4 linked regions of the Anolis sagrei genome follow. The main gene of each other region encodes a partner of the protein of the gene in region 2 in a complex. Links are inferred from orthologs where the notes say so. Each region holds a gene or a part of one and is shown on either strand. Other genes may lie near its edges.

The links.
Region 1: NUP214 (region 2) and NUP160 share a complex: the UniProt entries of both Homo sapiens proteins name them as parts of the nuclear pore complex. The link is inferred for Anolis sagrei from reciprocal best matches to the Homo sapiens genes NUP214 and NUP160.
Region 3: NUP214 (region 2) and NUP205 share a complex: the UniProt entries of both Homo sapiens proteins name them as parts of the nuclear pore complex. The link is inferred for Anolis sagrei from reciprocal best matches to the Homo sapiens genes NUP214 and NUP205.
Region 4: NUP214 (region 2) and NUP153 share a complex: the UniProt entries of both Homo sapiens proteins name them as parts of the nuclear pore complex. The link is inferred for Anolis sagrei from reciprocal best matches to the Homo sapiens genes NUP214 and NUP153.

Annotation. Positions count from the first base shown.
Region 1 is NC_090021.1:231,925,406-231,933,456, forward strand, and holds the start of NUP160 (nuclear pore complex protein Nup160), read right to left. Parts: upstream 3,296-8,051; 5' UTR 3,239-3,295; coding exon 3,130-3,238; intron 1,864-3,129; coding exon 1,755-1,863; intron 1-1,754. UniProt on the Homo sapiens protein: Functions as a component of the nuclear pore complex (NPC). Involved in poly(A)+ RNA transport.
Region 2 is NC_090031.1:17,129,322-17,138,010, reverse strand, and holds the start of NUP214 (nuclear pore complex protein Nup214), read right to left. Parts: upstream 3,452-8,689; 5' UTR 3,379-3,451; coding exon 3,337-3,378; intron 1-3,336. Other genes in the region: AIF1L (allograft inflammatory factor 1-like), read right to left, coding at 6,444-6,534. UniProt on the Homo sapiens protein: Part of the nuclear pore complex. Has a critical role in nucleocytoplasmic transport.
Region 3 is NC_090025.1:157,994,526-158,002,651, forward strand, and holds the start of NUP205 (nuclear pore complex protein Nup205), read right to left. Parts: upstream 3,376-8,126; 5' UTR 3,333-3,375; coding exon 3,305-3,332; intron 869-3,304; coding exon 726-868; intron 1-725. Other genes in the region: POLR3H (DNA-directed RNA polymerase III subunit RPC8), read left to right, coding at 5,363-5,439, 6,481-6,664, 7,437-7,533, 8,053-8,126. UniProt on the Homo sapiens protein: Plays a role in the nuclear pore complex (NPC) assembly and/or maintenance. May anchor NUP62 and other nucleoporins, but not NUP153 and TPR, to the NPC.
Region 4 is NC_090024.1:81,879,808-81,887,684, forward strand, and holds the start of NUP153 (nuclear pore complex protein Nup153), read right to left. Parts: upstream 3,366-7,877; 5' UTR 3,322-3,365; coding exon 3,178-3,321; intron 1-3,177. UniProt on the Homo sapiens protein: Component of the nuclear pore complex (NPC), a complex required for the trafficking across the nuclear envelope. Functions as a scaffolding element in the nuclear phase of the NPC essential for normal nucleocytoplasmic transport of proteins and mRNAs.

The sequences.
Region 1 (8,051 bases), on a different chromosome or scaffold from region 2:
CAAGCAAACATCTAGTTATAAACATCTCACTTACATATGACTCCTAATGATGTCTCATTACAGGAAGTGAGAGGAAAGGGAAATTCACTCTTGTAAGAGGAAAAAGGTGTCTCAACTGAAGCCTCATTATCAATCCTTGTTTCCATGACAAGACAAAATTTTCAAAATCCAATTGTCACAGGGACAGGAAATGAGATGAAATCTTTTGAACAGGGCACAGACAGCAAAACAAACTTTACAGGCATGCTAATCCATTCCCATGCTATCTAAAACTAAAAAATGGTTTTGGCTGGCTTTTCACTTAAAAAATGTAGTAGTTCTGACTTACATACAAATTCAACTTAAGAACAAATGTCTAGAACCTATCTTGTTTGTTGGCTCTGAAATTCTTTGCTATACGGCTGGTTAGTCCCAACAGAGTACTATAATCAATTAAATCAGTTGTTAATGTTTAGGTAAGTCGCATTTATTCAATTCTAGTCATGTTAGTGAAACAAGAACTCCAATCTGGTTTATATGCAAACTCTATAGGAGTTATCCAAGGTGCTGAAATCATTTGTGGGCCTATAGTTCAGCATCTGGGACAGTTCCTGTAAAATTCAAACTAAAACCTTTAGCAAAACCCGCATCACACTGTTATGGAAGCCACTAGAAATCAATGCTTTAACTCTGACTTCAATGTCCATTTCAATACCATATACAGTTGCTGTCACTGGACATTCAAATTACGCATCACTGATTTAAATACACATCTCACCTGAGACTCCTTCCCTGGATGTATATTTTTACCTAGTGAGGAACTGGCCAATGCAAAAAAAGGAGCATCTAAGCCAGGGGTCCTCAAACTTTTTAAACAGAGGGCCAGGTCACAGTCCCTCAAACTGTTGGAGGGCCGAATTATAATTTGAAAAAAACATGAATGACTTCCTATGCACACTGCACAATTATTATTTGTAGTGCAAAAAACACTTTAAAACAATTCAATAATTAAAATGAAGAACAATTTTAACAAATATAACCTTATTAGTATTTCAATGGGAAGTGTGGGCCTGTTTTTGGTTGATTAAATAGCTGCTGTTGTGTGCTTTCAAGTCGTTTCAGAGTTAGGTTGACCCTGGGCGAGGGCCAGGTAAATGACCTTGGAGGGCCTTAGTTTGGGGGCCCCTGATCAAAGCTTTACAAAATCAGCTTTATTTACACAGCACCTTTGGACAAAGATCTAGAAAACATTCCTCCAATCTTAGTTGCAAAAAAAAATAATCAATGTTGACATCTCTCTAAACACAAAGGTTACCAGGAACAGACAAAAAGGGCCCACTGGAAAGAAACAAATGAAGCAGACACTACTAGAATGTTTGTTATCACCAACACTTCCATTCATAGTTCATGGTATTAATAACAAAATCCTTACTATACTTTGTGTATTTAATTCTACTCTGACTTCAATCAGTATTCCAGCTTATCATGTACTTTGTGGAAGTCTGTTTATTTCTTTCTCTAGAAAGGAACTCAAAGATAATACTCCATTCCTCTGAGGAAGTGGACTGAATCTGTATCACAAGTTATAGTAAGTTTGGTAGTTTGAAAAGTATTCTATAAGTATTGCTTCCTCAACCTAATATGGTTGCTCCCTCCCCCCAAAAACAGAATTCTTAATCTAGGGCCCCTTTCAAAGCAAACTAAGGGGTAGATATTTGTGACAAGAACAGAATAACTGTTCAGCCAGACAAAAAGCACTTCTTTGGCCCACTCACCAATGAATGAAGCGGTTTCTGGTTACCGATCCCAGCTGCGCATTCTGCTGGTACCAGTATCCACCAGCGCTGTCTGCATACCGCGCGGCTGTAGAGGACAAACCACCACCTGCAATGGGCAAACAAGGGAGGCTGGTCAGCCACCATGCACCACATAAAAGAATACCATTACACCTGCTGGCAACAAAAAAATGTTTTTCCATTGGCCTGTAGAGCCCGGTTTAGGTGGTCCAGTTCCCCTTGGAGGAGGAATTCGCAGATTCTGTTTGCACAGTCTGCCAGGGCTTTAACTGTGCTTCTTTTTTTACTTGGGTGATGGTTGTAGTTTTTATGTAGGTATCTATCCATGTGTGTAGGTTTTCTGTAAACTGTGGCTCAATTGTTGATTGGGTTTGCGGATAACTAGGACATCTAGAAATGGCAGCTTTCCTTCATATTCTTTTTTCATGGTGAATTGAATGCTTGTAACAGTTTTTAAAGTATTTTGGGTGACAAATACAAAAACCTTAACAAAGAAGGCATACACAGTTCTTTTAGTACTTATGTGAATACAAGTTGCACATTCCTTATTCAGAACTCTGATATGCTCCAAAATTGCCCACACTGGATGGCTGACATAGAGACACCTTTGCCTTCTGATAGTACAACATACACAAATTGCGTTCCATGCACAAACCATTAAAAAGTACGTTAAAAATATCTTTATACTGGCTGTTAGGAATTGCGGGAGTTGGAAGTCCAAAACACCTGGAGGCAGGGCTGAAATTTGCCCATGCCTAGTATAAAATGTATACAAAGTATAATCAAATTTCATGCTTAGGCTTGGGTCCCATCTAAAGGTACCTCATTACAAAACATAAATTGTCTGCTTAGATTTGGATGCCCATTTATATATCTCATTAGGTACATATATTCAAATACAAGTATGTATATTTTCTCCAATAAATCCAGGGTAGCTCTAGCCCAGAAATGGGCAAACTGAGGCCCTATAGGTGTTTTGGACTTCAATTCCCACCATTCCCAGCAGCCTCAGGTCCCTTCCTTTTCCCCCTCTGCCGCTTAAGCGGCTGAGGGGGGAAAGGGAGGGGCCTGAGGCTGCTGGGAATTGAAGTCCAAAACACCAATAGAGCCTCAGTTTGCCCATGCCTACTCTAGCCCCAAGCATTTCGCATACAGGGATACTCAACCTGTACAAATTTCATTCGGTAACGTACTACAACATAGGAACATAGGAGTATGTACGTGGTGGAGCAACCCTGAGGTCATTTTTGGATTGACGGCCTTCGGTTTTGCAGGCCTGAGCTACTGTTCCAGCCTGGCTGATACCGCTGCTCGAATAGGAGGGTGGCCCACCTGGCCCGGAAAGAGCACCCACCTGGGAGGCTGAAGGCGAGCTCCCGGGCTCGGCGTCGCGGCCTCCTTGAGGTCCCGCCCAGCTCCAGGTAGCCACGCTCCCCGAGGCCCTCGGCCACTGACGCCGCCATCTTCCCTTCCCGCGCGCGGCGCCGCGGGGCCTCACGGGAGGCAGGAGCAGGAAGAGGGCGTGGCCGGAGGGAGTGCGCCTCCGCTGTGCATCATGGGGCGGGAGGGGGCGTGGCTGTCTGCGCGACTCGTGCCCTTACGCTGCTTACGGAAAGGACAGGCGGCGTTGCCAGGGCAACGGCGGGATGATTGGCTCTCAGTTACGTCCGGCCTAACGGTCGTTGCGTGCGCGTTGATTTCAAAAGGGATGATGTCCAGCCGGAACCAATGATTTTCCAAATATAAACATCAATCCTCACAGGTTGAATGGTCTGTTGGAAACTAGGCAAGTGAGGTTTATATATCTGTGGAATAATGCCCAGGGTGGGAGACATTGTCTGCTGGAGGCAAGCGTGAATGTTGCAATTGGCCACCTTGATTAGCATTGATTGAATGGCCTTGCAGCAATTAGCTTTGAAGCTGCAAGACCATTAAATGCTAATCAAGATTATCAATTGCAACATTCACACTTGCTTCAAGCAGACAGGAGTTCTTTCTCCCATATATAAACCTCACTTGCCTAGTTTCTTTCTCCCATCTCACCTCTGAGGATGCCTGCCATAGATGTGGGCAAAACGTCAGGAGATAATGCTTTTGGAACATGGCCATACAGGCCGAAAAACTCACAGCAACCCAGTGATTCCAGCCATGAAAGCCTTCGACAACACATTAAGGATATATATAAATGTATTTCTAATCAGAACCCTGAAGACATTTTTGTATTATCCTTATACATATAAACCAAAGGTAATGTTATACAATATTTTAAATTAAAGTTTGTGTTAATAACAGCTTATATATTTTACCAATCAAATGTTCATCTTCTGTAAATAACTGTAACTCAAGTTCAGATTTACTTTATTATTCTTTCTTCCAAAGAAGATATTGTGGTGCCATGGATGTGGACTCACTTTCTTACACTGTGTGTCACAAAAAAGCCCTCAAGTCACCAAAAAGCATTGTGTGAGCAGTGTGCTGTATGTAAGGAATATAACCTCCATATGCATGGATGCCTGGAGCTCTTGTTACAAGAAATAACACATTGGAAGGTGCTGTAGCATCATAATATCTGCCAGGTTCAGTATTCTTCAAAGGAAGAGGATCCTGGCCCATGGGAGAGGTTTTGTTTCTTCCTTTTCTGGTTGATTTGAGAGCATTATCACATTTTCCTAACAGCTTCTTTGCACATAGCATAAGTTTTCATGACTATCACCCATGCTACATACAGTGTCATTCAGAAATTTGAGCGCATTTTTATTTGTTTATTTATTTATTTAGAACATTTTTACCCCACCCTTCTCAATCCCTGGGGGGACTCAGGGCAGCTTACAATTGGCAATAATTCAATGCCACATCATAAAATACAGGATAACAAATAACAATTATACATGAACATTAATAAATAAAGATGGATGCTCAGTCTCATTATATACAATTGTGTAGAAAATGGTGCCACTCGCATTAAAAACAAAATCAATATTTTGCTTTTTTGGATTTGTAATATATATTTTCAAGCTGTGGATGGTAGAATCCATGCATGCAGAATCTATGGATATGGAGGGCTGACTATAAGAGTATTATGCACATGTATAGGATAGGATTGTAGCCATTGTGATCAAAGAGAAATCAAATGAGAAAGTACTGACTGGTATTTACCTTATTAACATGTCCATGCAACTTTTATTTATAATACAAATGCCTTGGCAGTAGATAACACATGTCATAATATTGAATTATAGACTGCATTATAATGAATTATAATGCAGCTATTTCCCTTCACTCTCCCTTTCATTCAAATCTTTCTTTTTTGTTTCTTTTTCCCCACAGCAGTTGTGTTAAGGTCAGTGATAAGAGGTCTGGTGTTTCCTTGGACACTGATGTGTCATTTTACTGATTTGTTCATATTGCACTACATTAACTGCCATGGCTCAATGCTATGGAATAATGAGATTTATAATTTGGGGAGGTACCAGCACTATTTGGCAAGGAAGGCAAATGCCCTTGTAAAGTTACAATTCTCATGAGTTTATATCATTGAGATATGGCTGAGCAGGAATTTGAACTCTGGTCTCAAAGTTGTAGTTGAACACTTAAACTACTACTGTATACCACACTGGCTCTCCTCCTGTCTCCTGTTCTTGCTTTTTAAAAAACAAAATAGAGGTCAGTATGCTTTATGTTTTCAGGAATTCCAGTTGCTGATTTACCTTGGCTCTGTCTCTAGAGGGCATCAGTCACTTTAAGATCCTTGGCACATCGTTTGTTTATTTTCCCCATAAGTTCATATGTTAAGAAAACCTATTCATTTCAATGTGCTGGAGAAGAGTTATAGGGATACCACAGACTACTAAAAAAAAACCCCAACAAACCCAAATTAATGGGATTTAGAGAAAATCAAGTCTGAACTCTCAATAGAATAAATAATGACTAAATTGAGTCTGTCTTATTTTGGAAGTATCCACAAAAGAATAATATCTTTATTGACCAACCAAAATGCATAAAACCAATGATGCAAACTTTCAAATCTCTGTTCACGTTTTAATCAGGCAAATGTGTTAAAATATGAAAGGTGATGGAGTCACAGACCTAAATATAGTCTTACATATTGTTCTGTTCTCACATTTTTCGCCCTATGGAGAGCGAGACAACGTTACATTAAAGTAATGTATGAGAATATTAGTACAGAAAGTGCTTGTGAAGACATGTTTTATTATCCCATGAGCACTCAATGCTTTGTTTTAAATTTCAAGAAAATGTTTCTCTTTGTATAGTCCTATGCAACATTGTGAGAGTCATTTCTGCTTATTATTTATCACGGGATTGAGGACAGAGTCCAGAAAGAGCAAGAACAACACTTAGTGAGTTGCTTTTGTTGCTTATCTTTCTCAATCCAACAATAAAAACAAACACTTTCCTCTTTCCCTCAAAGACTTTGCTTTCCCCAAAAGCTTTGATTTCCCTTTTTATTGTCTCCTTTCTCTCATACAGGAATGGAAATCAAATAGAGTCCTAGATGCTGTTGGATTACAACTCTCAGTTTGAAATTGCATTATATGACAGCATAGGTGGGATCCCAATATATTTAACTTAGCATTCTGAAATATGAGAGGAATGCTAAAAGTTGCAATTTGTGATTCCTACCCCTACTTTAGCAGAACAACACTTTTCAAGAACTTAGATTTTGGAGAGCTAAAATTCCCTGTATCAACTAGCCAACATGTTCGTGCTAGGTAAAAGATTCCTGAGGATTATTGTTCAAAAAACTAACCTTTCTAAACTCTTTGCTTTATTAATTAATTTTAAAGGCAATATATTTATTTATGGGTTTTTAAAAAGTTATCTCCATTGCTTCTGCCCTGGAACACTGCTGAAATTTACAATCTGAATCAGCAATCTAGCTTTGGTCTGTATTACACCTTTTGTGTTGCTGTTTCTCATAGTGAGACACAAGGTGAACCTACACTGTAGAATTAATACACCCTTAACACCACTTTAACAACTGTAACTGAATGATATGGAATACTGGGAGCTGTAGTTTTACAGGGCCTTTTGCCTTCTCCACCAAATAGTGTTGGCGCCTCACCAAACTACAACTCCCATTATGCCATAGCAAGTGGTGTCAAACTACATAAATTCTACAGTGTAGATGTACCCCCAGTGGTTGCTTTTCCATACCAAAAGGCAGATTTGTTGAGACTGTAGAACAAAGTGATCAATATACAGAGTTAAAAATATCTTTTTCTACCCCCCCCCCAGTAATTCATCAACACAACTGACCCAAAGTATTTTGTTGCCTAAATAGTAGCTGCAAATGCCCAAAACTAGCTGAATTGTTTTGACACATGACACAGAAAATACCAGAAACACTTTTGCCCATCTTCAGATGTTAAAAAACCCCTAAATAACAAAGCAAATAACTAACACTTTGCTGTTACTTCATGACAACCATCATTTCTTGCATCAGTTGGGCATATGGATGCCAGCCCTGGCGTTATACCAGTTTAGTTCTATTAAACCTTTAATTCTGTCTTTATCGTTAATTCTCACATCTCCCTTGCTATAGCAGATGAGATTAGATTTGGGAGGCTGGACACCCTAAATTATACACTCAAATTATATTTTTTAAGAACCTGGACCCTTACGTCTCTTTTCTATCTATACTTTGGACTTTCTTCAAGAGGATGTATTTAGTTCAGGGTCAGCCTTTTATCTGCTTTATCAATGGATTTCCAGATGAGCTTAGATCCTTGCTGTTCGATTCTTTGAATCTAGATATCAGTTGTCACTTCATCTGTGCTACCTCATTGTATCACAATGGCCTTGGAAGCTTTGTTATGCAGCAGGAAAGTATTGCCTCTAAAACCATGCCTTTTCATCATTTTCATATACTCAGATAACAATGTACCTGTATGATTTTAACATAACATCCTCTTTAGTGACTTAATTTGTGTAACCTCTGGGCTATAGCTATCTCGTAGCCCTTTCACATAAGAGAATTCTGGCTGTAATAGGAATTGAATCCCATAACTATGTTACGTTTGCGAGGGCAACAGAAAATTTGGCAGGATATCATGATTTTTGAATGGCTCTAGGGTGTGAACATTGTAGTGTACACAAGCTCACTATTTGTATGTAAATATAAATATTATTTTTCAGGGGTGGTGCTTGAATGTTAGTACTGCTGATGGCTAATCCAGGAGGAAGTATGATAGTAGAAGGCCAGTTGAAATTGGAGAATGATCTGAAATGGACGTTGTAATTTTCTCTAGACTAGGG
Region 2 (8,689 bases):
ACAGAAGGCCTGATTCTTGCCGCCCAGGAGCAAGCCATCAGAACAAATGCAATTAAGGCCAGGATTGAAAAATCAGCTGATAACCCAAAATGCAGACTGTGCAAGGAAGCTGATGAAACCATGGATCATATCCTCAGCTGTTGCAAGAAAATCACACAGATGGACTACAAACAAAGGCACAACTCTGTGGCCCAGATAATTCACTGGAACTTATGTCACAAGGACCATCTGCCAGCAGTAAAGAACTGGTGGGATCATAAACCTGCAAAGGTAGTGGAAAATGAACACGCAAAAATACTGTGGGACTTTCGAAACCAGACTGACAAAGTTTTGGAAGACTATGAAACAGCAAGAAATTCACCAAATATTTCCCACTTGCTGTACATAGATGATCTAAGGTTTTATGGAAAATCGGAAACTGAAACAGAATCAGAATCTCCAGCACTGACATTAGTATGGAACTCAGCCTTGACAAATGTGCCACAGCGGCAGTAAAGAAAGGGAAAATTACTCACAGCGAGGGCATAGAGATGTCAAATGGACAAACCATAAAGTACAATCAGCCTGAAGCCTATAAATATCTGGGCATACTACAGCTGGACAATATCAAGAATGGGCAAGTGAAAAAGGTGGTCAGCAAATAATATATCCAAAGAGTCAGAAAGGTTTTGAAGAGCAAATTAAATGGCGGAAATACGATCAAGGCTCTCAACACCTGGGCCATCCCCATCATTAGATACACTGCTGGGATTGTGAACTACACAAGCAGAGCTGGGCGATCTGGATAGAAAAACAAGAAAACTGATGACAATCCACTCCTCATTACACCCGTGTAGTGATGTCAACAGACTTGACCTGCCCAGAAAATCAGGAGCTTGAGAGAGGGCTTCTGCAAGTGAAACATACGGTAGAAGAAGAGAAACACGCACTGGCAGATTATGTGAAAGGCAGTCAAGAACCAACATTGAGGGAAGTCAATAGTGAAGTCAACAAGTGCAAAAGACAAAGAGAGAATACCATAAAAACACAATTCAGAGCAGAAGAGAAAACTGGTCAAAGAAGGCTCTCCATGGACAGTTCCTGGGAAACACTGAGAGCCAAATTGACAAGGAAAAAACATGGCTGAGGCTCACGAATGGAACTCTGAAAAAGGAGACAAAGGATGGCCTGATTCTGGCAGCCATTAGAACCAATGCCATCAAAGCCAGAATTGAAAAGTCAACAAGAGATCTCAAATGTAGACTCTGCAAGGAAGCAGATGAAACAACAGATCACATTCGCAGTTGTTGTAAGAAGATCGCGCAGACAGACTACAAGCAGAGGCACAACACTGTTGCTGAGATGATTCATTGGAATTTGTACCAGAAATACCATCTGCCTGCGACAAAGATCTGGTGGGACACAATGTGAAGATTTAAAGATTGAACTGTAAAGACTCTGGCACAAGCCAGTAAAGGTGGTTCCAGTAGCCCTTCAGGCCCACGCCCTGATTGCTCAGAAGTGGGTCCTGGTTCCTGCAGCCCACTTGTCGATGGGTGCCCAGGAGAAGCACTTGCTGTGGTCCTTATTATCCTGGGTGATGACCGAGCCAGTATAAACTTCTTTACAATTTGTTTCACCATATTTAAATGGTTTGGGTGTACTTAGTTCTACTTCTCAGTGGAGACCACTCTGGCTTGGCTGAACCTGCTGGTAGTTTATACTATCACCAGCACAGCTCTCAACATCACAAGCCAGTAAAGGTGGTCCCAGTGGCGATTGGCACACTGGGTGCAGTGCCTAAAGACCTTGGCCTGCACTTAAACACAATCAGCGCTGACAAAATTACTATCTGCCAGCTGCAGAAGGCCACCCTACTTGGATCTGCACGCATTATTAGCCGATACATCACACAGTCTTAGACACTTGGGAAGTGTCCGACGTGTGATCCAATACAACAGCCAGCAGAGTGACCTCGTTTGCTGTGGACTTGATCTTGGAGTCCTCGTGGACAACAAGTTAAACATGAGCCAACAATGTGATGTGGCGGCAAAAAAAGCCAATGGGATTCTGCCCTGCATCAATAGGAGCATAATCTCTAGATCTAGGGAAATCATAGATGTATATGGAGCCCCCAGTGGCGCAGTGAGTTAAACCCTTATGCCGGCAGGACTGAAGGTCGCAGGTTCAAATCCGGGGAGAGGCGGATGAGTTCCCTCTATCAGCTCCAGCTCCTCATGCGGGGACATGAGAGAAGCCTCCCACAAGGATGATAAAAACATCAAATCATCCAGGCGTCCCCTGGGCAACGTCCTTGCAGACGGCCAATTCTCTCACACCAGGAGTCATTCTTGACACGGCAAAAAAAATAAATAGATGTATATTGCGTTCTTAGGGTGAGGGAGAAGCGTGGAGAGATGTAAAGACACCACACACTTTTTTTTGCATGCTATCTCTGCCAATATGGGATTTTGGCCTGCATCAATAGGAGCATAGTGTCTAGATCTAGGGAAGTCATGCTCCCCATGCTCTATTCTGCTTTGATTAGACCACACCTGGAATATTGTGTCCAATTCTGGGCACCACAATTCAAGAGAGATATTGACAAGCTGGAATGTGTCCAGAGGAGGGTGACTAAAATGATCAAGGGTCTGGAGAACAAGCCCTATGAGGAGTGGCTTAAGGAGCTGGGCATATTTAGCCTGAAGAAGAGAAGGCCGAGAGGAGATATGATAGCCATGTATAAATACGTGAGAGGAAGTCCTAGGGAGGAGGGAGCAAGCTTGTTTTCTGCTTCCCTGGAGACTAGGACGCGGAACAATGGCTTCAAACTACAAGAAAGGAGATTCCATCTGAACATTAGGAAGAACTTCCTGGCTATGAGAGCCATTCAGCAGTGGAACTCTCTGCCCCAGAGTGTGGTGGAGGCTCCTTCTTTGGAAGCTTTTAAACAGAGGCTGGATGGCCATCTGTCAGGGGTGCTTTGAATGCAATTTTCCCGCTTCTTGGCAGAATGGGGTTGACTGGATGGCCCAGGAGGTCTCTTCCAACTCTAGGATTCTATGACTCATCTTGTTGTGTTTCAAATAATTTATAATAATAGTAATGTATAATAACATAACTATGAAGTATTGCATGAAAGATACAATAATATATTTCTGGTATGTTTACTCAATATAGAATGATACATAATAATAATAATAATAATAATAATAATAATAATAATAATAATAATCCAGCCTCGAAGTCTTGGAAACAGGCAAGCGACAGTTCCAGCCCTTCTTCTTCCCCGTCGACTGAGGCGAAAGCAAGTTTCTCCCCAGGAAGCCCTTCCGCCTCGCTTCCCCTCCGCCTCACCTTCATTTCCCTCTCGGGAATCACGTCCATGTCGTCGCCCATCCCTCTCCTTCTTTCCGCGTCGCCGCCTCACCTCACCTCACCTCCTCGGCCGGAAAAAGGAAACCAGGACGAAGCTTCCGGTTCCGGTGGCGCTCTAGGCCCATACCCGCCTCTCTCTTACCTTTCCCATAGAGAAAGCCGCTTTCGAAGCCTAGAGAAGCCGAAATGGAGGCGGATCGTGGCGTTTTCCTCGGACCCGCCCGCTCAGGAGACCAAAGAGTTAGAAATCTATAGACACCTCACTGCAACATCGACTTCTGGTTCCCTTAGGCCATTTTTTTTTTGTTTTATGTGGGACCCTAGAGATAGCAAGGTATCAAGATAATGCTCAAGATCCTGCAAGGAAGACTCCAGCAATACATGGAGCGAGAGTTGCCAGATGTTCAAGCTGGGTTTAGAAAAGGCAGAGGAACGAGAGACCAGATTGCCAATATCCGGATGCTGGATAATGGAGAAAGGCAGGGAGTTTCAGAAAAACATCTATTTCTGCTTCATTGACTATTCTAAAGCCTTTGACTGTGTGGATCATCATAAATTGTGGCAAGTTCTGGGTGGGATGCCCTATTTTCATATGTTTACAGCAGAAACTACCGAAAATCATGCCACAAAAATATTTGAATTTTTCCATCTGAGGCACACCTGGGCTCCTGATGGTCCCCCATCTCATGAACAAGGGACTCTCTTTCCTCCTCATGGATATATTTCCTTTTATGGACCTTCCTATGAATAATATGAACTATGGACACTGGGGGAAGGTAGTTGGGTTTACTCCTTGTGTTATGATTTCTATATTTTCATATCTTCTCCTGTATTTCTATATTTCCCTTCATGTATTTGACCTTGCCCTGACCCTTTTGCCCCCTTCCCCTCTCCTTGGGGGAAATCTACAAGGAATCTGCCCTGCCTCTGGAAAAGCAACCTGCGATCATGAAAAGACCCTTCTCTTTGGACATTCTTTGCATGGACAATAGTAAAGGAAATCCTTTTGACTTCGGAGTTGGGCCATCTTAAGGGTTCCTGTCTGGCAGACTTTTTAATCATATAACAATGGGGGGAAATATGACCTTAGGAAAGTCCTCTTTTCCTCCAAGCCATTTTTCTTTCAAATCTTTCCACTAAGGACACTCACAAAAGTTTCCCCTTTGTGCCCTATCTGATTGTAAGAGGAAAAACCGGATTAAGCCATCAATGCTTATCACAGACCCATTTCAGGACAATAAAGTGGCTTCTCTGGAAGGCCGATCCCCAGACTCGATAAGCCTAAGGACATTAAAACTCCATAATCCACTCCAGAATGCATTGTCTCCCTTCATCCCGCCTCCCTCCCTTCTGATTCGCTGGAGCGTCGAGGCAGCAGGAGCCTCCTGATAGGCTCTGGTGCCCCGCAAAAGCCCTGTGATTGGCCCTGATGCATGGGGGATGGCCAGGCCTCCTCCCAGCTGTTTGCGCGTCAGCCAATCCCCTTCGAGCTGGGCGGGAGGGGGGAGCAGGAATTTTGAAACTCACAACTCTGTATTTTCTATAAAAATGGCCTTTACTTCTGTAACCACATGCTCTGCTTGGCGAATTATTGCTGCTCTGCATCCTTTTCAGCTGAATCGCTAATAAACCTCGGTGGCACTTCCTTCAACTTGGTGAGACCTTTTATTGGGAAAAATCAGGGATTGGGTGCTTCTCTCTGTCTCGCCAGGGTAACAAACTCTTTAAGGAGCCTGATTGGTCTCTGCCTCCTGGCAAAGACACCTAAATTCCTGCTCTATAGCATAATGGGCACTGATCTTGGGTCTCGGAGTCCGACTGCTTGAGGAGATGTGCCCACTTGGCATAAGTTATCAAGGGCCTTCAGAAAGCCACAATTTGTCCTGATCTGTTTACTCAGTTATCTTCCCTCAACCGAAACTGCAGATAAGATTGTTCCATTGTCCCCATATCCCTGCTCAAGAAAAATCCGGATTCTGGCCACCTCGCCAGACATCAATGTTGATTACCAACTCCTCATCACAATAGCTGGTCAGCTGGAAGGCCCCTGAGGACTCACCAGCCACATGGACATCACATATTTCCATAATCCACTCAAGTTCTCATTGTTTCCCTCTCGTCCCGCCTCCCTCTCTCCTGATTGGCCAGGAGGCCGAAACGGCATGAGCTCACCCATTGGTTAAGGCACTCCGGAGGCGACCAAGCCTCCTCCCAGCTGTAGAGCACCAACCAATCAGCGCCGAGCCGGCTGAGGGGCGGGGAGCGGGAGATTCAAATCTGACAGCTCTGTATATGTATAAAAAGGCTTTGTTTTGTATTCAATGTATGCTTGCCTGACGACTTGATCAGTCATTGAAGCAGTAGTCTCAGGAAGGGAGTGAAGGTACTTCAAGTCCCATCATCCCATGTGTGCCAAGTTTGGTCCAGGTCCGTCGCTCGTGCACGCCACAGTGGCAGACAATCAGAAAGCTGCCACATACATACACACATACATACAAACATTCTCTTTATTTATTTATTTATTTATTTATTTATTTATTTAAAACATTTCTATTCTGCCCTTCTCACCCCGAAGGGGACTCAGGGCGGAGCACAGCATATATACAGCAAACATTCAATGCCGGGACACAAATTCAAATAGAATACATAAACATTAAAAAACAATTTATCAAATATTAAAATACCTCATTTAAAACCATCCTAGATATAGATTTAGAAGATATAGATTATAATTATTTAAAGTCATTAATGATTTATAAAAGGATGACATTTTGTTTGCAAAGAGAACCCAGGCCCATTCCAGAGACACGGCCGGCTATACAGACAGTGCTTAAATAGATAGATATGTGTATAATATATGTTTATATGATATTTATATGATATACATACATATATATATATATATATATATATATATATGCATATATTTAAAACGGCTACTTCTAAGAGGTCCCTCCGGCCAGGGTCCCAGGAATTTCCCTTCTCGATCCTTCTTCCTTTGCTAAAGCAGAGAGTTAGTAAGGGAGGGCAGGCTTCCTAAAAGGGTCTGGGGTCAAGTGGGGGTCTTTTTCCCAAAGGAAGGGGGTTCACGGCAGGGTAGAGATGTCCCTCTTCGGAGGGGGGCCGGGGGCCTTCGGGGCAGCGCCTTCACCGGCCTTGTCTTCAAACATCATGACCCTGCAAGGAGACAACAAACGGCCATCCAGTTATATACAGTGTTCCCTCACTTATCGCGGGTGTTACGTTCCAGGACTACCCACAAAACGTGAAAATCCGCAAAGTAGGAATGCTATATATGAATACACCTTTTTTTTTGCTAGTTATCTCTGCTTTGCTTTGCAATTTCTCTTGATTGGCTGTTTCTCTCCTGAGGGGGGGGGGTGACACCCCCTTCCACACTCCATCGTTGCCAGGAGGCAGGATTAGAACGGCAACGGCAACCATTCATAAACTGGGAGGCAAAAACCCGCGAAACAGCGAGTCCGCAAAAAGCGAACCGTGAAGTAACGAGGGAAAACTATATCTGTATAGAACTCATGTTCATAATTAGACAGTGCAAATATATAATATATAATATATTATATATAATATATTATATATAATATATAACATATAATATATTATATATTATATACTATATACTATATATATACATTAGATGTACCTGCCACGCATTGCAGTGGCCAACCTTCCTCTTTCTCTTCTCCTCTTTCTCTCCTTCCTTCCTTCTCTTCTTCTTCTTCCCTTCCTTCCCCCCTTTTCTTTCCCTTTTGCTTTCTCCCCTTTTTTCCTTCTCTTGGACTGCAACTCCCAGCAGTCCTCTTGATCTATCTATCTACCTACGTACCTATCTCTATCTAATCTATCTATCTATCTGGACGATTGCTGGGAGTTCTTTTATTCATGCACTCTACTATATATATATATATATATATATATATATATATATAAACACACACACACACTAGCTGTCCCCTGCCACGCGTTGCTGTGGCCCAGTCTGTTGATCTGGAAAATAAAGTAATGAGAAAGTGTTGGTTTCTAATATACTTGTGGGTAAACAGTATTTCTTGCTATTTCTTTGTCAGTGTTGATGTGGAGAGTGTCTGATTTGCCTACATATACAACATATAATTGTCCTTCTTCAGGGGTCCCTTTCAAATCTATGATACTATATTTGTGTGTGTGTGAATCCTTTATATCTATATCTATAGCTGGATGGCTCTGTCAGGAGGGCTTTGATTACATTTTCTTGCCCTGGTGAAGGGAGTTGGACTGGATGGCCTTGAGTGTTTTCTGTTGGTCATGGGAGTTCTGTGTGGGAAGTTTGGCCCAATTCTGTCGTTGGTGGGATTCAGATCACTCTTTGATTATAGGTGAACTATAAATCCCAGTAACTACAACTCCAAAATGTCAAGGTGTACTTCACCCAAACTCCATCTATCTTCATATTTGGGCATATGGAATATTCGTGCCAAGTTTGGTCCAGATCCATCATTGTTTGAGTCCATGGTAGTCTCTGGATGCAGGTGAACTACAACTCCCAAACTCAAGGTCAATGCTCACCAAACCCTTCTAGTGTTTTCTGTTGGTCATGGAAGTCCTGTATGCCCTGGTTGGTTCAATTCTATCATGCTATTTGATTGTAGGTGAACTATAAATCCCAGCAACTACAACGCCCTATCTATCTATCATCCATTTATCTATCTATCTATCTATCTATCTATCTATCTATCTATCTATCTATCTATCTATCTATATCTATGGCTGGATGGCTCTTTGTTGGGAGAGCTTTGATTACGTTTTCTTGCCCTGATGAAGGGAGTTGGAGTGGATGGCCTAAAGTATTTTCTGTTGGTTATGGGTGTTCTGTGTGGGACGTTTGCCCCAATTCTGTTGTTCGTGGGGTTCAGAATGTTCTTTGACTGTAGGTGAACTGTGAATCCCAGTGACTACAATTCCCAAATGTCAAGGTCTATTTCCTGCAAACACATATTTGGACATATTGAGTGCTTGTGCCAAGTTTGGTCCAGATCCATCATTGTTTGAGTCCACAGTGCTCTCTGGATGTAGGTGAACTACAACCCTTCCAGTATTTTTCTGTTGGTCATGGGATTTCTGTGTGCCAAGTTTGGTTCAATTCCATCATTGGTGGAGTTCAGAATGCTCTTTGATTGTAGGTGAACTGTAAATCTCAGCAACTACAACTCCCAAATGACAAAATCATTTTTTTTTTTAGTGATGGTCACTCCTTGGGTTAGTAGATGCCTTGTGTCCAAATTTGGTGTCAATTTGTCCAGTGTTTTTTGAGTATTATTATTATTATTATTAT
Region 3 (8,126 bases), on a different chromosome or scaffold from region 2:
TAATGCCTCACATACAGAAACCTAGCATAACAAAAATAACATACAATTATCAATTAAATCATAAAACATGACATCATTTAACATTAAAACGTGGAATTAAAAACGTATCAATATAAACATTAAAATCACTTCTAAACTTATCTAGTGTGGAGTGTTAGCTGCCTTGAGTCCTGACGGGGAGAAAGGTGGGGTATAAATAAAGATGATGATGATGATGATGATGACAATGATGTAACTGTAATTTGAGTTTAAAAGCTTTCCAAATAGGCATTATGATTTCAAATCTACTGAGCAAGGATAGGAATAACATAGCCCTCAGGATACTGGACTCTAGTTCCTATTGTTTTTCACCATGAGCTATGGTGGCAAGATATGCTGAGATCTGAGGACCAAAAACATTTGAAGGATGACTCCTATCCCAGTTCTAGATTATTTCCCTCTTTTCTAGCAACAGCAGGCCTCTTAGAATACACGTTTAATTTTAAAATCTATCAGTCAAATCAATTTAATTATAATAGTTGAGAAACTTCTTATAATACAATCTGAAATATTCAAGTTAGAATAAAGAAGAAACAGTTTCACTACGTTATTAAAAATTCAGTTAGAAAAACCTATCCTTCATTATTTTAATACATATAAACATAATAAATATAGTTATAAAAATCACACAATGCCAGCAACACTATTTTATCCCATTACCGGGAGAAGAAAAGTTTGCTTTTTACCGGATTTCTGAAGAGTGATATAAAATCAGGTTTATGCTTCTTTAAAATCTGGTCAAGAATATGTATTGCTTCAGGTTGCCTTTTCCAAATGGCATTAACAACTGCTTGCCAAATGTCTTTGTAGGGTCCCCATAAACTGGCAGCTAAAAGCAAAATAGACAAAGCAAGAAAAAAGCAAGATATTTACCACAAGTGAATATTATGATTAAACATTATTCATGTGCAAAAATATTTTACAGAAAAATATTTAAGATAAATTAATTAATTTTTTACAAAAGCAGCAATCAGCTTAGTGAACAGAGACAGGAAAGCAAAAGAAAAGTCCCTATGTGGGTAATCATTTATTTGATAACATAGAATCATAGAGTTGAAAGAGTCTTTGTGGGCCATCCAATCCAACTCCCTCCCAAGAAGTAGAAAAACTGCATTTATTTACAATATTTATATGCTGCCCTTCTCACCTTGAAGGGGACTCAGAGCAGCTTACAATATGTAAATACAATATATTATATTATTACCATAGCACAATATTAATATTATATATTACTATATTGTACTATAACATTATACTGTAATATTATTCGTAGTACTATATTGTATTACATTATAATAGTATCAATATTATATGTATATACAATATATTATATTATATTATATTATATTATATTATATTATATTATAAGCACAGTGCAGGAGACAAGATGGAAATGCCTTCCTGGCCCCTCTCTTCACTCTGATCTCAGAGCAGCAGTTGGTGCTGGGGGGGAGCTCACATTCAAAGCACACACACACACATTCAAAGCAAGCCCACCAGTATAAATAAGTTGTAAACTACAAAAAATGCATGCCACAAAATATTTGTTGGTTTTCCACCAAATGGGAGAATACTAAGGCGCATATTTACATCTCAGGAAGATTTCACCTGAACATTAGGAAGAACCTCCTGACCATAAGTTTAAAGTCTTATAGTTATATGATTGATAGCTATAAGTTGTAAGTAATTATGTTTGTTAGATTTTATTTATTGTGATTTGTTTGTTTAATTTTCTGCTTGTGTGACTGTTATCTTGTATTCTGTGTTGTAAGCTGCCCCAAATCCCTTTGGAACGAGGGGGAGGGATATAAACAAAGCATTATTATTGTGATTATTATTATTAGAGCTGTTCAACAATGGAACTCTCGGCCTCAGAGTGCGATGGAAGCTTCTTCCTTGGAGACTTTTAAACAGAGGCTGGATGGGTTGCTGTAAGTTTTCCAGGCTATATGGCCATGTTCCAGACGCATTCTTTCCTGATGTTTAACCCACATCTATGGCAGGCACCCTCAGAGATTGTGAGGTCTGTTGGAAACTAGGCAAGTGCGGTTTATATATCTGTAGAATGTTCAGAGTGGGAGAAAGAACTCTTGTCTGCTTGAGGCAAATGGGAATGTTACAACTGATTGCCTTGATTAGCAATGAATAGCCTTGCAGCTTTAAAGCTTGGCTACTTCCTGAATGAGGAAATCCTTTCTTAGGAGGTGATTAGTTGGCCCTGATTATTTCTTGTCTGGAATTTCCCTGTTTTTGAGTGTTGTTCTTTATTTGCTTCCCTGCTTTTAGTTTTTTAATAGTGTTCGCCTGACATTGCTCATTTTCATAGTTTCCTCCTTTCTGTTGAAATTGTCCACCTGATTGTGGTGGTTGGGATGCTTTGTTTGTGCATGACAGAATGGGGTTTGCCTGGATGGCCAATGCGGTCTAGTCCAACTCTTATGATTCTATGAAAACACATTCATGCAGCATTTTGTTTTTTCTTTAAGTGGCTGCCAGAACCTATTCCTTTTTTTAAAAAAAAATATTTATTGTAGTTTTACATATTCAGTGTTTAAACATTCTTATACTTATCACTTCCCCTTAACAAATTGTATACAGAAACCTATTCCTACTCTTCCCTGCCTCTGGTATCAAAGTTGCTGCTAAAGAAGTAAGCTTAGGAATGTATTGCCTGTCCTTAGAAAACTATCATTCTATTATCTTACAATTCTATTTTATTAATACCACTATTCCTCCGTGCTTCTCTCTGAATCGAGGAGACCCAGAGTGGTTATACCAGGCGTGGGCAAACTTGACCCCTCCTTCCAGGTGTTTTGGACTTCAACTCCCACAATCCCTAACAGCCTCAGGACCTTTCCATTCCCCCCTAAGCCACTGATTCTCAGCCTGTGGGTCCCCAGTTGTTTTGGCCTACAACCCAGGAATCCCAGCCAGTTTACCAGCTGTTAGGATTTCTGGGAGTTGAAGGCCAAAACATCTGGTGACCCACAGGTTGAGAACCACTGCCTAAGGCTGTTAAGGATTGTGGGAGTTTCCAAAAGTTTGCCCCTGCCTGATCTACACTGTTATGTAACTGCACTGGGTTATACTCATGTACTTAGGAGCAAGCCCCATAGAACTTGGCTGCTGTGGGTCTCAGGCAGTCCTCCACGTTCCCTTCCACGGCAAAGAGTGGCGCAGGGCCCAAAGACAGGGCAAGGCAACCCCAAAACGATGCCGCCCCGTCCCCGAATGAGCCTCAGGCCAAACTCGGGGCTCTTCTCACCTGAAATTACCGCCAGCGGCGCCGACATCTTGGAAACTCGCGAAGGGGCTTCAAGGCGCCCTCGCTTCTCAGGGGCCTAGAGCAGGTAGAGGTGCCCGCGATCTGCCGGATCAGGAAAAAATCCTCTCTTCATAGACAACTCGGCTAATAAATGGCAAATGCATATTATCAGCGTTTTCCATTATTTTAGCCACATGTAGGAGGGTAGTGCTTTAGTCCATTACGACAAAAGCGCTCAAATTGCACGACCGGAACGCAGGCACGATTTAGACGCCTAAGATCGAAACATGGAAAGAACTTTGGGGTTTGTAGTTCTAGGCCCAGCGGGAGAAAAAAGGGCGGGAAAGTCGAAATAGAAACCCTTTTTTTGCGGAAGAGGAAGCTTCTTGAATCTATCTTGGCAAGGAAACCCGTGATAGGGTTGCCACAGGTTGGAAACTGCTTCAGGGTACACAACAACAAGGCCTTGTTGAACAGAATGGATTGATGTCATGTCCAAAGCTTTCATGGCCGGAATCACTGTGTTGTTGTGAGTTTTCCGGGCTGCATGGCCATGTTCCAGAAGCATTCTTTTTTGACGTTTTGCCCACATCTATGACAGGCATCCTCAGAGGTTGTGAGTTCTGTTGGAAACTGGACAAGTGGGGTTTATATTCTGTGGAATGTCCAGAACTCTTGTCTGCTTGAGGCAAGTGTGAATGTTGCAATTGGCGACCTTCATTAGCATTGAATGGCCTTGCAGCTTCAAAGCCCGGTTGGTTGCTGCCTGCAGGAATACTTTGTTTGAAAGTGTTAGCTGGTTTAACTTTTCTGAGTATTCTGCGGATATTCAAGTCCTCTTATATACAGTGGCGTAGAAAATTGACATCCTTTATATAAAACATCCTAAGTGGTTCTCAACCTGGGGTCCCCAGATTATTTTGGCCTACAACTCCCAGAAATCCTAACAGCTGGTAAACTGGCTGGGATTTCTGGGAGTTGTAGGCCAAAAACATCTGGGGACCCCAGGTTGAGAACCACTTGTAATGTTCGTTTGTGGGATTAACATAACTCAAAAACCACTGGACATATTGACACCAAACTTGGCCACAAGACACCTACTAACCCAAGGAGTGACCATCACTCAAAAATTTTGATTTAGTCATTTGGGAATTGTAGTTGCTAGGATTTATAGTTCACATACAATCAAAGAGCATTCTGAACTCCACCAACGATGGAACTGAACCAAACGTGGCACACAGACCTCCCATGACCAACAGAAAACACTTGAAGAGTTTGGTGGACATTGACTTTGAGTTTGGGAGTTGCAGTTCACTTACATCCAGAGAGCACTGTGGACTCAAAAAATGATGGATCTGGACCAAATTTCGCAGGAATACTCAATATGCCCAAATATGAACACAGATGGAGTTTGTGCAAAATAGACCTTGACATTTGGGAGTTTTAGTTACTGGGATTTATAGTTCACCTACAATCAAAGAGCATTCTGAACTCCACCAATGAGGGAATTGAACCAAACTTGGCACACAGAACTCCCACTGCCAACAGAAAATACTTAAGGCCATCCAGTCCAACTCTCTTCACCAGGGCAAGAAAACGTAAACAAAGTCCTTTTGACAAAGAGCCACCCAGTCATATGATTCACGCGCATAGTATAGATTTGAAAGGGACCCCTAAAGAAGGACAATTATATGTTGCATGTTCCAGAGTAGGCAAATCAGACAATCTCCACATCAACACTGACAAAGAAACAGCAAGAAATACTGTTTACTAACAAGCATAAAGAAATTACATATATTAGAAATCAACACTTTCTCATTACTTTATTGTCCAGATCACCATGCTGGGCCACAGCAACGCCTGGCAGGGGACGGCTGGTATAAAATAAATGTGTACTTTTCGGATTTAAAAAAATATGGTCAGGCCATGAAGGCTTGGGTAAAGGATCTGTGAACACAGGAGGGTGACTTGTTCCCAGCGCTCCAAACTACAGCTCCCACCATGCACAGCGTTTTCCAGTGTTCTACTTCCTCTTCGTAGCCTTGCTGTTTGCCGCGCATGCGTGGTGCGGTAACCCGAACGGATGTTTATCGCCTGCTGGAGAAGGAGAGGGTCGCGTGGCGAAGCGGTTGTGGGTGAGTTAGATGCATTTCTGATTTCCAGGGATATAATCGAAAACAACGGAGAGGTGCTCTAGGAAAGATATGCTTCCATCTTTGGAGGGTCTTCTGTTCTGTTGGGGATGCTGACTGCTTGTGTGGATAGAAAGCCACTGCTGGCTTCAATAAACTACCTCAAAGCAGGCCTTTGCAAGTTGTAACTGATGGTAGAACAGGTATAACACACTTAAGCGGCTGAGAGGGAAAAGGAAGGGGCCTGAGGCTGTTAGGAATTGTGGGAGTTGAAGTCCAAAACAGCTGGAGGGCCCAAGTTGGCCCATGCATGTGGTAGAACAGTGGTTCTTAACCTGTGGGTCCCCAGATGTTTTGGTCTTCAACTCCCAGAAAGCCTAACAGCTAGTAAACTGGTTAAGATTTGTGGGAGTTTTAGGCCAAAACACCTGGAGACCCACAGGTTGAGAACCACTGTGGTAGAAGATCCCTTCTGTATGTCCTTTCTGTGGTTCTGGGCCTCAAACTACTTCCAGTTGCAAATTCCCTTCTAATGTAACCAGTAAGAGAAGAAGCCAAAACTAGGAGAGGCTTCTTCTCCAATGCAGAGCCAACCTAAAGAAATGGGACTACAAAGTGGAATCCACAACATGCGAGTGTGGAGAAGAGCAAACCACAGACAAACCTATTACAATTCAGCCTGAGCCCTGCCACATGCACAATGCAGCAACACCAGGGGCACTCCAAGTGGCCAGATACTGGTCAAAGGACATTTAATCAACTACCAAGCTTGCAAACTTCGTGTTTTGTTAAAAAATGCAATGCAACTGTTTGGTTTGCCCCTGATACGATAAATAAATAATACCTAGTACAACATTCAGTGTTCCTCACAATTGTAGTTGCAGCCTGACAACATTTTGAGGAGTCACACAATTCCTACCAATGATTTAAGCCTCCTTCCACCAGTATAAAATCGAAGGATAAGCTGATCTTATATTTTGCTCAAGTGTTGGCGTTTTCTTCCCTTAGACCACAATTAGAACTTGCCACTTTCTTCTCCAACAGCTATCACTACAGAAAGGAGAGTCCTCTTGCTGATTTTCCCTTCTCCCCAGGAGCATTGTTTTTGCAAGTTATCATGTTTGTGTTAGTGGAGATGACAGATACTGTGCGAATCCCTCCATGGCAGTTTGAAAGGAAGCTTAATGATGCCATCACTGAAGAGTTAAATAAGAAACTGGCCAATAAGGTAAACTTTGCATGGTTTGTCTCACTACTATACTGTCACACAGATTCTAAAGACAGTAAACTTTGGGTGTATACAAATAATATGTGTATTTATTTGCTTAATCTGTTTTAATTGTTTATTTGTTGGAATACGTTTTTATGACTGTGTCTATATGGCATTGAATTTTGCCAGAGCTGTAGGCCACCATGAGTTCCCCAAAGGGGTGAGAAAGGCAGTGAACAAATAAAGATTATTATTATTATTATTATTATTATTATTATTTACTGCTCCATCTTACATATGTCAAAGGCAGATTATTCCCAGTTAAGCGAATGAAGGATTGTGGACAAATGTCGTGTGGACAGTCATGGTGCTGTCTCATATATTTAATGAATGTAGCTGCAATGCTAAAATTATACACTGTAAAGTCGCTGATTTTGATCAATATAAATTTAGTATCTTTTCACTAGTTACATTTAATATGTAAATGAGCTCCCACATGACATGAAATAGAAGAGTGAAGAGATGTTGAAAATAATGAGAAATTGATAAGGAGACTGGCTACTCAGAAGTATGAACCTTCATTTCCCCCTTAACCACCCCCTCTGTTATCATTCTTTCTTGTTCTTGTAGCGTTACTTGCATATTTGAATTATTTTTATCTATCCAGTTATAGATCCGTTCACCAGTTTGGTTTGTTGGTACAGTATTCCTTGTTCTGTTTCAAGGGGGCTAACACATCTCTTCCAAAGTATTCAACTTCATTGATTTTTGGATTTATTTCTCTAAACAGGTTGTGTATAATGTTGGCCTCTGTATTTGTCTCTATGACATTACAAAGCTGGAGGACTCCTACATATTCCCAGGAGATGGTGCATCACACACAAAAGGTTTGCCTGTTGTTTTCCATGTCAATTATTTTTGGATCTGACAACTATGGATCTTCAAGACTACCCTCTAGGCAACATAATAATTTCTGGGTAACCACAGCACTCCATATTTTTTTATTATAACTCTGTTGTGCTGATACATAATACAGCTGGAAAGCACATTTTTGTGGCATACGAAACTGAAAAAATTATGTTCATTCTCCTTCATCCTTGGTACCATTTTTGCTTAGGACAGGTTAAGGTACCATTTCTGCCATGCTGTATACATTTTCTCATTTAATGCTAGCATTCTCACACTTATACACTTGTTCCATATTCTATCTTGATGTTCAATCTGTTAACAAACTGGCTTATGCTCATTTGCCTTGCAAGTACAGCTGTAATTATTTATTAGCTGCATTTATACCATGCTTTTTCTCGTGCTATACAATGTTGCTATGCTAATTTTGTGCACATGTATGTTTTGACAACATACAAGTGAAACATTTATCTAAGGAAAATCTGCTTCCTTCTTTATAGTGCATTTTCGGTATGTGGTGTTTCATCCCTTTCTTGATGAGATTTTGGTTGGAGAGATAAAAGGCTGCAGTCTA
Region 4 (7,877 bases), on a different chromosome or scaffold from region 2:
ATTAAAATCATAAAAAGCCATAAAAACAACATCATATAAATACAGTACATACACTGTTAAACATTGCACGTAGACCCAAAATCTTAATCCGGAAGCCTTTCCAAATTCCAGTCACTTCATAGCCGCATGTTGACCCTGTGCTCTATTCAGATCTATTATTACTATGATCAACAGTACAATGCATTTTGATGGTGCCATATGAATAACCTCTATTATTCTTATTACTATGGTTAACTTTCCAATGCAATTTGATGGTGCTAGATCAGACATAGGCAAACTTCGGCCCTCCAGGTGTTCTGGACTTCAATTCCCACAATTCCTAACAGCCTAAGGCCCTTTCCCTCTCAGCCGCTTAAGTTGTTGAAGGGGGAAATTAAGAGGCCTGAGGTTGCTAGGAATTGTGGGAGTTGAAGTCCAAAACACCTAGAGGGCCGAAGTTTGTCCATGCCTCTGCTACATCAATAAACTAGATTATTGTTAACTTTAGAATGCTAATTGATGGCACTACACAAAGGCAAACATTCAATGCCTGCTTGAGTCCAGGTGTAGAGTAACAATAATAATGGGTTTCTGTGAGTTTTCCGGGCTGCATAGCCATGTTCAGAGGCATTCTCTCCTGTTTCACTCACATCTATGGCAGGAATCCTCAGAGATTGTGAGGTCAGTTGTCAGACCCTGTGTCAGACTACACAGAGAAGTCATTGAAATCCGCAAGCATATGGACAATTTCAACAGAAAGGAGGAAAGCATGAAAATGAACAAAATCTGGCTGCCCGTATTAGAAAACTCTAAAATCATAAATAAAGCGCAACACTCAAAACACTGGGTATTCCTGGCACAAAACAATCAGGGCCAGCTAATACCTCCCAACAAAGGATTCCCCCAAGCAGGAAGCAGCTAGGCTTTGAAGCTGCAGGCCATTCAATGCTAATCAAGGTGATCAAATGCAACATTCACACTTACCTCAAAAAGACAAGAGTTCATTCTCCCACCCTGGCCATTCCACTGATACACAAACCTTACTTGCCTAGTTTCCATCAGACCTCACAACCTCTGAGGATGCCTGCCATAAATGTGAGCGAAACACTAGGAGAGAATGCTTCTGTAACATGTCCATACAGCCCAGAAAACTCACAGCAACCCAATGATTCCGTCCATGAAAGCCTTCAACAACACATTGAACTATGATTATTTATAATATTAATAATAAAACTTTATTTATAACCTGCCCCGTGGGGGACTCAGCGCTGTTTCCAACAAAAGATGGCAAACATTCAATGCCATATTATTATTAACCTTATAGTGCAATTTGATGGTGCGGTATCACCCATCATTATTTATTATTATTTAGTCAAAATAATAAATTATTATTGATATATTGCAACGAGGCTTTGCTCCTGTAGCACAGGAACAGCTGGATTCCATCCTGCACATTCTTCTGCACTTTACCAGGAACTAAGATCTAGCTTTCTACTACAAGTTATAGATTTTTTGAAAAAAACATAATGACCCTGACAAAAATAATTACGTGTTTAAACTGCCAAGATTTTAACTGTTGCCTTTTAGAGGAAAGGTTCCTGGATGATAATAATAATAATACTTTATTTATACATCATACAGTCCTAGACACTTGGGAAGTGTCCTACGTGTGATTGAATACAACAGCCAGCAGAGTCATCTTGTCTGTTGTGGACTCATCTTGTTGTGTTTCAAATAATAATAATGACTTTATTTATATTCCTCTCTATCTCCCCGAAGGGCTCAGGGCGGATTCCAAGCATAAAAGGCAAACATTCAATGCCCGAATACAACAGCAATACATCCATACTAACAAAATTTAAACAGCCCAACATATAAACACGAATGATAACTTAACAACTAAAATTAAATTAAAAACACAGCCTATTATAACAAATGTAAAGCAAAACATCAAACATTAAAAGGAAACAAGTCTGGATGAAGTCTGTAAACTGAACATGTTGGAAATGTGAAGTTTTCTTTCTTTTATCATTTATACTGTACTAGCTGTCCCCTGCCACACGTTGCTGTGGCCCAGTCTGTATATATGTGGTGTGTGTATATATATGTATGCATGTGTATATATTTGTGTATATATATTTGTGTGTATATATGCATGTATATATTTGTGTATTTCTGTGTTTATATGTGTATATGCATATTGTGTATGTGTGTGTGCTTGTCTATATGCATATTTGTGTGTATATATGTATGTAGACATGTATGTGTATATGTATGTGTGCATGTATATGTGCATGTGTATATGTATATATGTGTATGTATATGTGTGTATATTTGTGTGTGTTTGTGCATATATATATATATATATATGTGTGTGTGTGTGTGTGGATGCAGGCATGTAGCCGGGGGGGGGGGGGCTTGAGGGGCTTCAACCCCCCCCCCCGAAATTCTCATGGTGGTCCGCAAGAAGGCCTTACTGGTACACTATTTAAATTGTTATGTTTATTTATATCATGATCTGATCACCATGCTCAATATATCCCATATGCATGGGGGTATTGGGGTAATGATACAAAAGGTTTGCTAGGGTAGACCCTCTTTCACTCAGACTCAGCCCCCCCCAAACCAAACCCAGCCTCCCCCCCCCCAATCAAAATCCTGGCTACGGGTCTGTGTGTATGAATGTGTGCATGTGCATATGTATATGAGTGTATAGCTATATATGGTGTATTTCTGGGGTTTTTAAGCCTGTTCCGCTGGGGTTGTGTGTGTGTGCATGCACGCGTGTGTGTGTTTATGGTGATGGACACTCGTTGGACTGATAGGTGTATTGTGTCCAAATTTCGTGTCAATTCGTTCAGTGGTTTTTGAGTTATGTTGATCTCACATTACATTTTTATTTCTATAGATTTTATTTTATACTGTCTTGTTATATATGCCAATAAAGGCCTATTGGTTTGGATTGTGATAATATCCTTGTATTGGAAGGCCCTGGTCCCTCATGTGAAGAGGCGGAAGAGGAGGCGCGGGACCTTGTTCCTCTTCCTCCTCCTCCTCCATGGCCTGGCTGCTCCTGAGGCCCTCTGCGAAGCTCCTTGGCGGAGGCTCCCTCGGGCCTGCCTCTTTCTTTCTTTCCTTCCCGCCTCCCTCCCTTCTTCCCCTCAGGTCTCCATGCTTTTGGGCCTCTCCTTGCCTCACCTGCTTGTTCCTGGGGTAAGGCTTGGAGGAGGGCGCTGCGTGGTGGTACCGCCGCGTCCGTATCTTCCCGCCACCGCCTCCTGCTCCTGCTGCTCCTCCGCCGCCTCCTGCTGCTGCTCCGCCGCTGCTCTCTCCGGCCTCCATTTCGGGGCCTCGCTTTGCTCCCTTCCCCCTCCCCCCTCCCTCCCCCTCGAGCGCGCGGCGCAACCTGAGGCCTGGCCCGACCCGGCCTCCCCTCAAGCGCGCGCCCGCGCGCGCTCTCCCCTCACGTTGCTCCCGCCTCTGGCTCTCGCCCTCACGCGCGTTCTGTGCTGTCACTCTCTCTGTCTCTCTTTCTCTCTGTGACGAAGGGAGCCCGCCTCGCGCCCCTCACACGGAACGCCCGGCTTCCCCGCGCGCCGCGCTTCTCTTCTCTTCTCCTCCTCGTCACCGTCTAGCCCGCCCGAGACTTCCCCCTCTCTCCCTCCCTCCTCCTCCTCGCTTCCTTTCCACAGACCGACCAACCAACCAAAGGGCACACGCCCGTGCGGCCTCTCGTCACCCAAGTGCGACGCAGCATCATGGCATGCGTCATTCCCGCTCGCTGAGCGGCCGGGATTCATTCATGCCACTGCGCTCTCATGGGAAATGTAGTCTTGGAGAAAGACCGACTACTAGGCCATACCTAGCAGGCAGGCAGGCAGGTGGAGGCTCTCGCAGCCTTCCAGAGGAGGCGCGGGATCTCGCGAGAGGAGAGGGGCCGAGATTCTGGAATGAGCGGGAATTTAGGAGGCTGTTGCCTCTCTTCAGAAAAAGACTCGGTTGCAGTTTCTGAGGGGAAATGGCATCACTGGAAAGGAGGCTTGGGCCTTTTTAAAATAATAATAATAATAATAATACATTATTTTTATTATTATTACACTGCTGGAATTGTCGAAGGCTTTCATGGCCGGAATCACTGGGTTGTATGTTTTTTCGGGCTATATGGCCATGGTCTAGAGGCATTCTCTCCTGACGTTTCGCCTGCATCTATGGCAAGCATCCTCAGAGGTAGTGAGGTCTGTTGGAACTAGGAAAATGGGTTTGTGGAATGACCAGGGTGGTACAAAGAACTCTTGTGTGCTGGAGCTAGGTGTAAATGTTCCAACTGGCCACCTTGATTAGCATTTGATGGCCTGGCAGTGCCTGGGAAAATCTTTTGTTGAGAGGTGATTAGATGTCCAGACACTGCCAGGCCATCAAATGCTAATCAAGGTGGTCAGTTGAAACATTCACACCTAGCTCCAGCAGACAATAGTCCTGTGTCCCACCCTGGTCATTCCACAGATATATAAACCCTTTTTCCTAGTTCCAACAGACCTCATTACCTCTGAGGATGCTTGCCATAGATGCAGGCGAAACGTCAGGAGAGAATGCCTCTAGAACATGGCCATATAGCCCAAAAAACCCCTACAACAACCCACTGCTGGAATTGTGAATTCACCAAAAATTTCCCACTTGGTGTACATGGATGATCTACGGAAAATCAAAAACTGAAATCCAGGCACTGACCAACATAGTCAGAATCTTCAGCACTGGCATCGGTATGGAGTTCAGCCTAGACAAATGTGCCACAGTGGCACTGAAGAAAGGGAAAATTACTCACAGCGAGGGCATAGAGATGCCAAATGGACAAACCATAAGGTGCAATCAGCCTGAAGCCTATAAATATCTGGGCATACTACAGCTGGACAATATCAAGCATGGGGAAGTGAAAAATGTGGTCAGCAAATAATATGTCCGAAGAGTAGGAAAGGTTTTGAAGAGCAAATTAAATGGCAGAAATACGATCAAGGCTATCAACACCTGGGCCATCCTCGTCATTAGATACACTGCTGGGATTGTGAACTGGACACAAGCAGACCTGGATGATCTAGACAGAAAAGCAAGAAAAGTGATAACAATCCACAACTCATTACAGCCACGTAGTGATGTTGACAGACTTTCCCTGCCCAGAAAATCAGGAGGCAGAGGGCTTCTGCAAGTGAAACAAATGGTAGAAGAAGAGAAACATGCACTGGCAAATTATGTGAAAGGCAGTCAAGAACCAACATTGAGGGAAGTCAATAGTAGTAAACTGCTTCAAGTGCAAAAGACAAAGAGGGAATGCCGTAAAAACACAATCCAGAGCAGAAGAGAAAACTGGTGAAAGAAGGCTCTCCATGGACAGTCCCTGGGAAAAATTGAGAGCCAAATTGACAAAAACAAAACAAAACATGGCTGTGGCTCAAATGGAACTTTGAAAAAGGAGACGCCTGATTCTGGCAGCCCAAGAACAAGCCATCAAAACCAGAATTGAAAAGTCAACAGCAGATCCTAACTGTAGACTCTGCAAGGAAGCAGAAACAATAGATCACATCCTCAACTGCTGCAAGAAGATTGCGCAAACAGACTACAAGAAGAGGCATAACACCATAGCTCAGATGATTCATTGGAACGTGTGCCACAAATACCATCTGCCTGCGACAAAGAACTGGTGGGATCACAAGCCTGAAAAAGTTACAGAAAATGAACACTTCAAAGCCCTCTGGGACTTCCGAATTCAGACAGACAGAGTTTTGGAGCACAATACTCTGACCTCACGATTGTGTTAAAAAACAAAGTATGGATTGTCAGTGTTGCAATCCCAGGTCACAGCAGGATTGAAGAGAAACAACTGGAAAATCTGACACGATATGAGGATTTAAAGATCGAACTGCAAAGACTGGCACAAGCCAATCAAGGTGGTCCCAGTGGTGATCGGCACACTGGGTGCAGTGCCTAAAGACCTTGGCTTGCACTTAAACACAATCAGCGCTGACAAAATTACCATCTGCCAGCTGCAGAAGGCCACCTTACTGGGATCTGAGCGCATTATTCACCAATACATCACACAGTCCTAGACACTTGGGAAGTGTCCGATGTATGATCCAATACAACAGCCAGCAAAGTGATCTTGTCTGCTGTAGATTCATCTTGTTGTGCTTCTAATAATAATAATAATAATAATATATTTGTATTCCAACCTATCTCTCCAACGGGACTCAGGGCGGATTCCAGAATACACAAAGGCAAACATTCAATGCCTGCTTGAGTCCAGGTGTAGAGTAACAATAATAATGGGTTTCTGTGAGTTTTCTGGGCTGTATAGCCATGTTTCAGAAGCATTCTCTCCTGATGTTTTGCCCACATCTGGCAGGCATCCTCAGAGGTTGGGAGGTCAGTTGTCAGACTCTGTGTCATACTTCACAGAGAAGCCATTTAAGTCTGCAAGTATGTGGACAATTTCAACAGAAAGGAGGACAAAACAAAATCTGGCTACCAGTATTTTAAAAAAGCCCCTCTAAAATCATAAATAAAGAGCAACACTCAAAACACTGGGGATTCCTGACATGAAACAAGCAGGAAGAATATAAATTAAATGGATTCCTGGTTATATACCACAGTAATATATACCCACAAATACAGCAGTATGTATAGGTCAATAATCAATAAACAGGTTTATCAAACCTGTTAATTGATTATTGACCTATACATACTGTTGTATTTGTGAGTATATATTACTTGGATGAAAGAAGTAGAGCCAGCTAAGGATGCCCCCAGGCAGGAAGCAGCCAGTCTTTGAAGCTGCAAGGCCATTCAATGCTAATCAAGGTGGCCAACTGCAACATTCACACTTGCCTCAAACAGACAATAGTTCTCTCTCCTGCCCTGGACATTCCACAAATATATAAACCTCACTTGCCTCAGTTTCCAAAAGACGTCTCAACCTCAGAGGTTGCCTGCGATAGATGTGGCCAAAACATCAGGAGAGAATGCTTCTGGAACATGGCCATACAGCCCAGAAAACTCACAGAAACCTAGCGATTCCAGCCATTAATGCCTTCAACAACACATTTACCTATTTTTAATTTATAATAATCATGGCCGGAATCACTGGGTTTCCGTGAGTGTTCTTGGCTGTATGGCCATGTTCCAGAAGCATTCTCTGCTGACGTTTCGCCCACATCTATCACAGGCATCCTCATGTATGGCAGGCATCAACCAGAGAAGCCAGTAATAGCAGAGCACCTGATGAACACAGCATATTATTTGAGAACACATAAATGCTGGACCACTCGAACAACCATCATGTCAGACTACACAGAGAAGCCACTGAAATCCACAAGCATGTGGACAATTTCAACAGAAAGGAGGAAACCATGAAAATGAACAAAATCTGGCTACCAGTATTTTTTAAAAAACTCTAAAATCAGGACAATAAATAAAGAACATCACTCAGAGAGCAGGGGAATCCAGACAAGAATCAATCAGGGCCATCTAACACCTCCCAAGAAAGCATCCCCCAAGGCAGCAACCAGCCAGGCTTTGAAGCTGTGAGGCTATTCAATGCTAAATAAAGCTGGACAATTGCAACATACACAATGTGTTGTCGAAGGCTTTCATGATCAGAATCACTGTGTTGCTGTGAGTTTTCTGGGCTGTATGGCTGTGTTCCAGAAGTATTATCTCCTGAAGTTTAATGCACATCTATGGCAGGTATCCTCAGAGGCTGAGGGGTCTATTGGAAACTAGGAAACTATCGTTTTTATATCTGTGTAATGTCCTGCGTGGGAGAAAGAACTCTTGTCTGCTTGAGGCAAAGTGTGAATGTTTGAAGCTGCAATCAAGGTGGCCAGTTGCAGCATTGCCGCCTGGGCCTC